Oreochromis niloticus: one gene and its partners. The protein of the gene in region 3 interacts with the protein of the main gene of each other region in a biochemical or structural test. Links are inferred from orthologs where the notes say so. Each region holds a gene or a part of one and is shown on either strand. Other genes may lie near its edges. The genes, in order: ago1, ago2 and tnrc6ba.

Region 1 (3,755 bases), on a different chromosome or scaffold from region 3:
AGTGTAGGGGGTCAAGTATTCAGGTTTTCCCTTTAATCTGTCACCCGTCCATGTGTGTGTGTGTGTGTGTGTGTGTGTGTGTGTGTGTGTGTGTGTGTGTGTGTGTGTGTGTTCATATGAATATCAAAGTGTAGAATCACAAGTCCCTAAAACACATCTGAGAAGCACTGTAAACACAGACACCAGACATGTGGTGCCCGTACGTACTTTATGTGCAAGAAAGCATGTACGTGTGTGAATGCATGAGTGTCTATACCGTGTTTTGATTGTTGCGCATGCACACACAATGACACACACTTCGCCCTCGTGCCAGTGAAGGCAGATGGTGAGAAGCGGAGCCAGCCCTCTCACATATCCCAACACAATAGCAGTCTTTCCCGGGCGGTAAGACTTAAAGCGGAGCTTTGGCGCTGCATCACAACATGAAGACACTCGCTACTTAAATCCTTTACAATGACGTAATAAGCAATAAGATCAAGTCACATGGGAACGACTATTTTAAAGTCGTACCTGGGATAACACGTCTGTTGTTGTTGTGTGTTTTGTTTTGGCTTCCTTTGCAGGACAACAAATAAAACAAATAAAAGACCTCAATGTGCACTTTTTAAACAACTCCACATTAAATTTGCTGGTAATGGAAAAGATGTGTAGTTGGTGATGCTATACAAATACACACAAAAAAAGTTAAAAACTAGAGAACGATTAGCCTCCAAAAATATAAGCTACTGGCTTATAAGCTAAATTATAAGCCAAGTACACAAATTGCAAGGAAGATCCATTTAGGCATCACTTGTGTTGGCCAAATCAGTTGTGTGTCTCCAAGTATTTGGCTGTTGACCGTGAGCCAAATGTGGCAACCAGAAAAATCTTTCAAAATAGAAAACTGAATCATCACACTTGAAACACAAAAGGAGACGTTGAAATAAGGGGCCTCTGAAGCCCCCCCCCATCCTAAGAAATTAAAACAGGCCTATTCAACTAATTTCAAGGTTCAGGATCTGGAATGATGACGTGATTTTACCATCAGGCCTGCTTTGCATAAACACAAGCCTGAAGATATCCAAAGAGGATTCAGGGATTGTTAACGGAGTTCATGTCAAAACATTTTGCATCAATTAAAAATACAAGTCTTTATAAAAGCCATGCATTAGACATATTTAAGACATTCGTGGTTGCATTATTAATGCCGGGCACTCAAGAAGTTCCACCGTAAACAGACTTTAGACCTGGGCATAAAGTCAAGTCCAGTGAGTGCTTTAATTGCAGGTCTCCACACCTCCGTGTCAAACAAGAAAACTGCCAAATGAAGCCCATCTCTGATCTGACTGGCACTGATAAGTCTGCAGATACAGAATCAAACCGCAACACATAAATATAATGCTCTACATGCTTCCCTCAGTTCTAAATGTAGATTATGTCATCTCGAACAGGAAGACGAGATAAGCCTTTTTTTCCTCCTTCTTATTTCACATAGATAAATAATTCAGTTATTGCTGCAGATGGTAGGCCCGAGGTTGTCTTTAATGTGTGCATTTAAGGACACTGTGCTAAACTCTCTCTTGACAACCTTAAGCAAACGTAACCTGTCAGTGAACGGGAGGCTGGTCTGTTCTGTGGGGCGTGCGGGTGCAGCCAGCTGCTGCTGCTGCTGCTTGAAGGCGGGCTTCACCTCGTCCCTCCTCACCAAGATTCCCACGACCTCCCTGCCCCCGCGCATGGCTGAGGATATTGTCAGACTCCAAAAAGGCTCATCTGCAGCTATAAATCTGGACAAATAATAACGCTTTCTATGGAGTGCAGTGCATGCAGACAGCAAGATAGCTCCTCTCCATCTCACACCCTCTCTTCTCTAAACGTTCGATGCAACAGAGAGGCTTGACACCAAGCATCCTCGTACATCCCCCCCCGATGTTAAGGCCAGGCTACGGTGTCTAGTTTTATCAGCTGCAGTTTGGCCCGCAGTATACACCCGGATTGGTTGCATTTAAAACCACTTAAGTAAAAATAAACCTACCAGCGCCAGACGGTCCCGGCTCCATCCCATTCACTTAGCCGCGCGGGTACAAGCTAGCTAGTCCGGGGGGTGCTGTGGCCAAACCGCCGGCCCCTTCAGGCTGGAAGCGTCTCAGACTTCCAGCCCCCTCCTCTCGGCGTGCAGTCTTCTCCTTTCTCGGTGTACCCCCGCCCCTGCCCCTACCAGAACCCCCCAGACCCGCAGAGGAGTTAAGGCTAACGGCGATAGCTGCCAGTTGCTCGTCTGCCCGTTGACCCTAGAGCCAGTAACGGCGCAGCTGCAGGGCGATGCCGTCCTATTTCGAACCACTCTTCCTCGGCGGCGCAGCGGGATCCTTCCCGGTGCTCTGATTTAGCTGATGGTCCGCGGCGCTGTAATTTCTTGCCGTTCTGTTGTGCTCCTGCTCACCGTTCAAGCAGGACTCTCCAGCGGAACAAAAAAGGCCAGCCCCTCGCCCCCCTCAAAAAATCTGAAACTTCTTCTTTGCCATTGGAAAGTGTGAAGGAAGTGTTGACGAACTTGCTGTCACACCCCAGAGGTCGAAGGCGGAACTACACTGCAGATATGCAAATACAGCCAAATTATGTCTCACGTGTCTGATACTGTGTGTTCAAAGCTGAGGTTTAAAACTAATGATCACACGTCTTACTTCTCTCTAAAAATACAACCAACATATTCTGAGTACATTTTAAAGGTGCTACATCAGGGGTTTGATCAGTTTAATCTCAAAGGGGGAAGATCAGTACAATTATCTCTAATAACAACCTAGAGCATAATAACCTATGTATCTGCTGGTGTAAAGAAGTTAAAGAACATTATGAAACACATTTATTCTAACATTCTTTTATGAAACAGATGATCGACAGTCAAAGAGTTCTCAATTTCAAAACCTTTCCATCACATGCATCAACCAAAGCAGAAAGCGGACCATTTGGCTTTGTCATGTTCACATTAAAAGCTATTGCAGTTGTGCAGTTTGCAATCTTGAAATATTGCATTTAACCTTAATTGATGTGAACCTACATCCTTGATATGTGACCACCAAGCCTTTCACATGTCTTTTTTCCTCCTCTTTTAGAAATTGCCGCATATCAGTATTGCCAACTATACATTTGTCTTGGTTTATGTTTTCTTTAGTAAAGGGCTTAATGATTAATTTATTGATCTGTAATTACTCATTTTATTGCTGTTACATATTTGCTTTTTGAGTCATTAATAATCATATTTTAATATAAGTCTTTAATCCAATATTTATATCTAAGTCTTTAATGCTTTCATGGCTTGACTTTGTAAAAAAAGAAAAAAAAAGAAGTAAAAGCACAAGAAAGAATACTTTATTTTTTAATAAATTACCATGCAGTGTTTATTCTTTCAGTCCTACATTGATTATTTTGTACAGGAAACTGAAAAAAGAACCAATGTGCACATATCCAATAAACTTTAGGTGCTAGAAATAAAGGAATGAATGAATGAGCTCCAATTGAACTATTGAATTCTTACAATATTTTTGCAATTGGAACATTCTTTAGGGTTGATATATTTATGAGAATATTTAAAGAATTAAATGGGACAGTGGATATTTATTTAATTTATTGCCATTATGTTTTTTCTCATGTCCCACACATAGTTGGTTACGTATGAAAATCACTTAGGGTAGTTGAAATTCAACAGGCTGACATTTGAAATATATATTTTTTCCACTAATGAGTTAAAACATTATTTTTAACTTGATCAATATAAT
Region 2 (3,755 bases), on a different chromosome or scaffold from region 3:
AAAGCGAGGGGCTGCACGTCGTTCACTTTGGCAAACCCACAACAAAACATAAAATAAATTCACTCAAATTTGACACAACCCAGACGCCCAGGGTTAAAAATATACGCATTAGATTAAATTAACGGGGAATTTGAATCACGTGACACTGGTAACAGCGTAATCTGATAAAACAGCCTGCAACTGTTTCAAAGTTTTGGAATAATACATGGGCGTTTCAGCAGGTGCTGCTTACTGGATGCACACATGCGGAAACATTCTGCATGTTTCATAACTCAAATCTGCAATTCATACAATAAATAATTCTACTTTAAACGGGATCAGCTACGCGAAACCAGGCTCACGGTTAAAGAGACGTGTGCTCAATGTACATTATGGCTATATCTGTGTTCCATCTGGCTTTATCCACCCATTCAAATATTCTGTAAACAACCCAGAAAATCAGCCTCTGTATTCGTATATCTGCTTATAGATCTTGTATCGGTTTAACTTCCACTGAAATATGAACAAATAGCTGGAAAATTTGGAATCTGGATGAGCAAATAATAAATAAACAAATAAAAACATTCAATAGAAACAACCTACCTGTGTGTATCTTCTTCAGCTTTTGTTACTATAGACAATAATTCACTTCTTGAACGTGTACATCTAATTTTATTTCATTCATTCCCCTTAATTAAACTTTAAGTAATTTTTAGCATAAGTAAAATTCAACGTATAATATAAAATCACATGGCTTGATAAATCTTCTGTATGTACTGTCGTTATATTATAATGAACTATAACGTTGGAAGTTTTTGTGGATCCATTACTATGCACTAGCTATAGGTATTATAAAAAAAAACTTTGGTACCCCGGAAATGCTTCCTCCGCCGAAGAAACAAACTACTTGGTATATTACTTTGCTTGTTGACATTTTTAAAAACCCACATTCGTGGCCATATACATATATATGTACGTATTTAAACCAGACCTGTATTTTAGCCAGGTTATAAAAAGTCGGGTTGTTTTTTAAGCCAGGTAAGCGATCTCTGGTGTTTTTTTAAAGATTTGAATTAGCATCACTACTGAGACCGCGCAGCGTGCGTCTGACATCACCGAAAAGCAAGATAGTTCCCCACTTCACATCAATCTAAACGTTAATATTTCCCCTTAAGTCGAAATTACCGTATTTGAAATGTTTGCAACCGTGTAAAATGCTAACTTTGGCTAATAAAATACTAAATCTGATAGGAAACGTGATTTGTCTAAATTGTGTTGTATTATGTGTATGTATGTGTTATATAGTATGTGTTATATTTATTTAAAAAAAGAATCACATTTCGTGGACTGATACGGATACTAGCTTTTTGTCTACATTCATGACTACACTGATGGGATGAATACATATGTCTTGTAAAAAAGAAGGGTAATTAAAAAAAGAAGTCCAAATGTAAATATATACACTACCGAAAGTAAAGTGACCAAAGGCGGAAGGAATGGGAAAGAATCATCTTGAAGCGCGTGGTTCTTTACCCTGCGCTCTCTTTTCTCTCGGCTCCCGTTTTGCGTGTTGGGGGGATGGGGCCGAGCCGAGGATGAGAGACTTCAAATATTTACCACTTGGCTAACTAAATATCTCTTTTTAGAACCGAGTTTCCTTCCTTGCACTTGGACATATAAATACACTTCGACTACGGATGAGTTTTGGTGGAATTCTGCGAAAAACTAAGCGGAGTGTTTGTGCGTCCACGACACACGCTTAAAAAAAGTCGACAAAATGTATTCCTCTGCTGGAGGTAAGTGCTGCGGCTAACGTTAGCATGGGCTACGTGATGCGGCCAAAGAAAACTGACGATAACGAAGCGGCATTTTTCTGTGCTGCATCGATGAAGTGCTTGCTCTGTTCCCGTTTCATCCAACTCGTTACAGTAAAACTCAACAACGGCTTTGACGAGGAACATGTCGTCCCAGTTTTAAGTGTATTAGTACTAGAGGCAAGCTTAGCTAGCGTGCAACAACAAGCTGCCGCTAGCCACGCTAGCTTCAACGGCACCTGGTTTCCCGAACTTGTTTTAGTTAACTCACTGCACTTTCACCAAGTGGGGGTTGGCTGGCATATATTTTCTTAACAAATCACACGAACGTAAACGCATATCATTCATTTTTCTCGAACTGAAGCACTAAACACACTAGTTGAAGCAATATTTCGAGGCCGACCTAATCTCATCACCAGTCTGGGATACGATTAGCCTGACAGTTGAAATCGCCACATTTACATATGTCACATTAATACACCAGCGGTATAAACGCGCTAACGCCACCGGATCGTCTTTTCAGTGTAACACCGGGTTTAAGACACTAAATGATACAGGAGAAGTCTGCTTGATTAAGTTTGACGTTAGGTAGAGATAGTTAAGCGACTGAGCCGCCTGTCGTTAGTCAGACAGACGCTGTGTTTGTGTGTGTGTAGATTTGCATATCGTTGTATTTCATGTGTGCGTTTCTGTTTTTTGTCAGCTGGCTTTTTTAGGCTGAATGAAAGAGAGTACAGGCGACATCAGCACTATGTTGGACAATTTTTTTTCCCCCACTTGCAGTTATTTTAACGAGGATGTGTTGTTCAACCAAAACACGACTCGGTGTGTTGAAGCAGTCTATTTCTAGGGGGAAGGGGTGGCTTCATCAGTTAGATTGCCAGCTGCTCAATACTTTCTGCGTGTCTATTGATAAGACTCCTGTGGAAGTGATAAGAAAGGCCTGCTGGGATGAAGCTAATGTAATAAATGAGCAGCGCTCTCTTACTGCTTACTACATAAACAAATGGTTTTGTTATGTTAAGCAGTAATCTTTGGTCTCTGGGCTGTACTATGTTATTAGGTGTACACATTTATTACTCTTTATTTTGAAATACAGTGTGTATCAGACTGAGCGGATCTTTGAGCATTTATAACATGTTATTTTTGTTCTCTGTAGCTGCTGAGATGCTTGAGGGACCCGGTTCTACTGGGTCAGTAAGCTCTGGTAAGCTTTTCCCATATTCGGGCTTTAACACTTTAAATTGACCCTAGTAGTGGTCCAGTGTAAGTGGCAACATTTTTTTTTCTCACACATCCTTCAAGCATCACAGTATGTACTCATCTGAAAAACAACAGGACCTTCTGATAGTGAAACCATCCAGCAAAAAGCATATAGGTATTTTGATCCTGTGAGAGTCTACAGAAGATGCTTTGCTCTTCAACTAGTCAGCACTAGTACACCTCATTTTGTGCACTTATGTGCAAAGCACTTAACTAAAGGGCACTTATTAAAATCCACCATATATTGCTAGGCTTTATCAAAGGTTTTCTGTTTGAATGAACAGCGCTGGAGCTAAAAGATAATGCACTGAAGGGAATGGAGTGTGTCCTGACTGAAATATCTGAAGCTGCAGATATGGCTGAGCTTGTCCAGCAATAATGAGAGCTGTGTGCATCTCCTACAATAAAGTGCAAAAATGTTAACACTTAAAATCATCTTTCAGGTTATAATATAGTGATTTGGTGTAGATTTGGTACATGTGTTGTTGTTGTTGTTGTTAATGTTAATATAAATAATAATGATAATAATAATAATAATTCAACTATTGTACCAAAATAATTACAAATGTGAGATTTAAATAAGTTTTTCTTGTATATTATTATTGGTGTGGCTACATAGTGTAGTGGTTTACTCATTTGAAAAAAACCCTTTGGGGATGGGTCAGGAAGGGTATCCAGTGTAAAGTAATAAAAAAACCC
Region 3 (3,755 bases):
GACCCTCTTTAGGAGATCCACAGTTCATCAGGTAGGAGCCATGAGGCAAGATATGAGCTGGGTCAAACCCCTGTTGGGAACACAGCTCCTGAAACTTTGCTGCAGCTGTATGGTCCAATGCAGGCCTCTTCCACGATCGCTGGGACCCCAGGAACAGGGCGAAACTGCTGCCACCCATCTCCATACAGGACTCCACGGCTTTCCATATCCCACCTATGGACGTGACGTCACAGAAGTGTGAGTAAGCGTGCTTATCTCAAATGGTGTCAAAGAAGACGACATTAGGCCCTACCTTGAATGCCAACATGAGCTCCAATGTACTTCTTTGTTGCGCGGTTCTTCCTCCTGTCTCCTCTTTCCTCAGTGTCCTCGCCCTCCTTTTCTCCTGCGGAGGCATCCTCGTTTTTCCTTTTCCTCGTTCCCCTTTTTCTCTGACTCATGCTACGAAGAGAAAGTTGAAAGCAGCCCTTACGAAATAAGCAATAAGTTGAATGTTAAGTTTGACTGTCAGAAGTTTATGGAGGTCAAATAGCGTGTTTTATGCATCTCTTCAGGCAGAAGCCAGCCAGTCAGAGGGCTTCCACGCAGCTGCTACAGGCTGGTCATTGGAGACGCTTCATGCTGAGCAGCAAAATGGCCGCCCGTCACCCGACTGACTCCACAGCGCTTTGAATTTAAATTCTTCTGCACATTAGGGTTTACACTATTATAACGGTAGTGCTCACGAACCAGTACGTTATTACGCGTATATTTTCATTTTCTGCCATTTTACTTGATTCTCCGCTCAGGCGTCGCTGTTCTTGTAGCCTCGACGAATGCCTCAAAAAGCTAGAAAAAAATTCGCACTGAAGCACTTTAGCTAAGCTAGCTAGCACGCTAGCGTATCTTCATATGTGATTCCCGAGGTAAGTGGGTGAATTTTTTACATTTCTCGGCTTTGCACTGTGTCGTTGTTTGAATGCATGCGAGCGGGCTGCATCTTACTGAAATGCCATGCCACGGCGCTTGCAAACCAAGCTAGCGCCATTAACCTGGCTACTTGTAGTTGCTGCTGTCACTGGGTAATGCTACCTTAGCTTATCTGGCTAATGTTCGGTAGCATTAGCGCCGTTTTAGCCGTATTTTTGGCACTGCGTTAGCTGAGCTGGGTATTTGGCCCTCTTATGTGTTTGCTGTGCAAGACCGCTGTGTTCACTTGATAGAGCAGTTACTGAACTTAGGTTGGTTTGAACTCGTTAATGCCTGCTATGCTTCGTGTCCACGTATTTTAGGCTGAACCCCTCCTTAACGTTAGCCTCGACGAAATATTTTATTAGCAGCAGCTGTTGAACTTGCAGCTTGTGTAAACCTGAAGGGGCAAGGATGAATGTGTCTGACTATTTCAGCTAAAGCGGATTTATTCACCCGTGTCTTCAGTTTTTGAACACGCCTTTCCATTTAAGCTCAAAGCTCAGACCTTTTTGTGCTGTGGCGTTTGCTGCCTAATGCTGGTGAGCTTGGAATAACGTTGACAGGTATGTCAGCATAAGCTGGTAGAGCTGCTGGATAGGGTTTACTATACTGCAGATCTGACACATCGAAATAACATCGTGATGATGTCTGGCTTTCTGATACTTCAGGCCTGAGATCATAAATGCCTCAGGGACAATGTCAGGTCGCTTTTCCCAAATGTAGTAATCCTGCTTTATGGAAGTGTTAACGACACGAAGCAAAAACGAAACCAACACAAGACCGAGGCAGCCGAAGCATACCAGATTGCTTGGGTTTTGCTTTAAACGAGGAGAAAAGGAGAAAACTGACGACTTGTGTTTTAATGTGCTAACATGAAGCCAGACATGCTAATATTGCGGTTATTGCCATATTGTAATACATACATGATTTACATTTTGCGCATTCGCGGGCGCTTCCCTGGTTCCGCTCTAATAGAAATGAATGACATTTCTATCACCCTATTAAATAAACAGTATAAACCGTTCGTTTCGTTAAAAAATTGTAGAATAGCTCAGCTGTTCCATCTTCAAACTGAAAAATCTAATAATAAAATGTTTAGTTTGTCCCCGACATCCTAGGGATCATAGAGGTGCTATGGGGAATCCTAATGACAATGCATTCTTTGCTGTAGCTGAAATCTCTTAATTCATTTTATTTTATTTTTTAGTTATTTATTTTTTACTTAAAGCCAGTAAAGAGTATGATCCTGGATTTGTAACTGCCAGCACTCTGTCTGAAAAACAAATCTAGATTTCAGACTTTCAGTTTATCTGGTATGGGTTTCTGGATATGTAGGTCCAGTCAATCAAGCTAAACTGATTGGACCTACAGAACCTAAAGGTCAGTTTATCCAGTTGTCCAGTGGAAGTGTAGTGACAGAGATTGTGTCTGATATGCAATCAGAATTAAATGTTTTCCTTTTTTCCCTTGAGGAATAAATTTGGTTTACAGGAAAAAGCTAGAATATATAGAAACAAACTGTTGCTTGTTCTAAAATAGTTGATAGGTAATTACAATTTTGAATAGCCCGCTATTTTTTTACAGAAGAGAGGAGCATCAGGACAGGAGCAGTAGTTCATGGAAGACAAGAAAAGGAAAAAGGACGAAAAAAGGAAAAGGGAAGCCTCTCAGAAGGTGAGTGTGTTTGTCTTACCAGATTCCATGTCCTCTAGGGCAGATATACTCAAATTAAAATGAACGTTTGTATCTTGACACAGTATGCTGGCAGTAAAATTTATGCACATTCACTCATATCATTTAAAATGGCAGTTCTGCATGGATATCTGTATGGTTCTATTAAAGTGACTTCAGTGCTTTCTCTTATCTCAGGTGGACACATTTGAACTGTCATATTAAGGCAGTGGTTTCAACAACATTCAACAACAGCATTTAGTTTGGATTGAGTTTGGAATGATCTTACATTATGCCATTTCAGCTTTTTCAGTATATATACAATCTAACTTTGTTTGACGAGATACCTGATTCATGGTCTTGGGTAATTTGGGCTTCCTGGAGCTATAGTTGCAGTTAACACTGCAGCTGTTGAACTTGTTACAATTAAATCTCTTGTCCTTAGGTCCCTAGATGTTACATTAATTTTGTGTCAACTAAATGTTGACAGATTATGTGAAAAGTGAAAGACTTTCATAATATTAAAAAAACACCAGTTTCCTTTCTTTGCCTGGAAGAAAGGAAAAAGGAAGAAAGCCAAAAACAAAAAAACTAAATTTTAACATGACTTTCTGCTTCTCTTCATTTTAGGTTGCAGAGCAAAAAAACAAAGGTAAGCAGCACAGTGATGTATTTTTATGGAGTTTGATATAAATATTTGTTGTTTGCTCCTTTTTCCAGAGCTAATCTTTAGACACTTTAGTTTTAAATGTTTTTCTTGTCTAAAAGGATTGTGATGGTATCACAGTGACATTATTATTTCTCTTTGTAATGTGTTGGACAACACTTGATGCATTTTTTTTAATTTTTAAAAAAGAGCACATCCATCGATTTCTTTGTTTTATAGTCCAGTTTGCTATCCATTTCTGCCAAATACTTGATTAGAGGTTACATTTGAAGTAAATACATTTTGCGTTCTTAAAATGCACCTGTTTAAACAAATCTTTCTCTCCCCTCCCTACCCTTCTTGCAGTGCCAGACTTGACCAAGCCAGCTTCTGCCCAGTCTTCTGCTACTCAGAGCAGCTCTGCCTCCCCAGCCCTGGACCCACCCCCTCTGCCTCCCCATCCCCAGCCACCTCAGGCCCTGGCAGT

What was found.
Region 1: the proteins of tnrc6ba (region 3) and ago1 form a complex in vitro, tested with the Homo sapiens proteins (2 studies listed by BioGRID and IntAct). The link is inferred for Oreochromis niloticus from reciprocal best matches to the Homo sapiens genes TNRC6B and AGO1.
Region 2: the proteins of tnrc6ba (region 3) and ago2 form a complex in vitro, tested with the Homo sapiens proteins (3 studies listed by BioGRID and IntAct, with this or other methods). The link is inferred for Oreochromis niloticus from reciprocal best matches to the Homo sapiens genes TNRC6B and AGO2.

Annotation. Positions count from the first base shown.
Region 1 is NC_031976.2:28,011,661-28,015,415, reverse strand, and holds the start of ago1 (protein argonaute-1), read right to left. Parts: upstream 2,530-3,755; 5' UTR 2,040-2,529; coding exon 2,015-2,039; intron 1-2,014.
Region 2 is NC_031985.2:24,714,581-24,718,335, forward strand, and holds the start of ago2 (protein argonaute-2), read left to right. Parts: upstream 1-845; 5' UTR 846-1,756; coding exon 1,757-1,775; intron 1,776-2,952; coding exon 2,953-3,000; intron 3,001-3,755.
Region 3 is NC_031973.2:22,681,925-22,685,679, forward strand, and holds the start of tnrc6ba (trinucleotide repeat-containing gene 6B protein), read left to right. Parts: upstream 1-767; 5' UTR 768-905; intron 906-1,446; exon of another isoform or gene 1,447-1,514; intron 1,515-2,535; 5' UTR 2,536-2,625; intron 2,626-3,252; 5' UTR 3,253-3,274; intron 3,275-3,634; 5' UTR 3,635-3,755. Other genes in the region: uncharacterized protein si:ch211-141o9.10, read right to left, coding at 4-213, 293-440.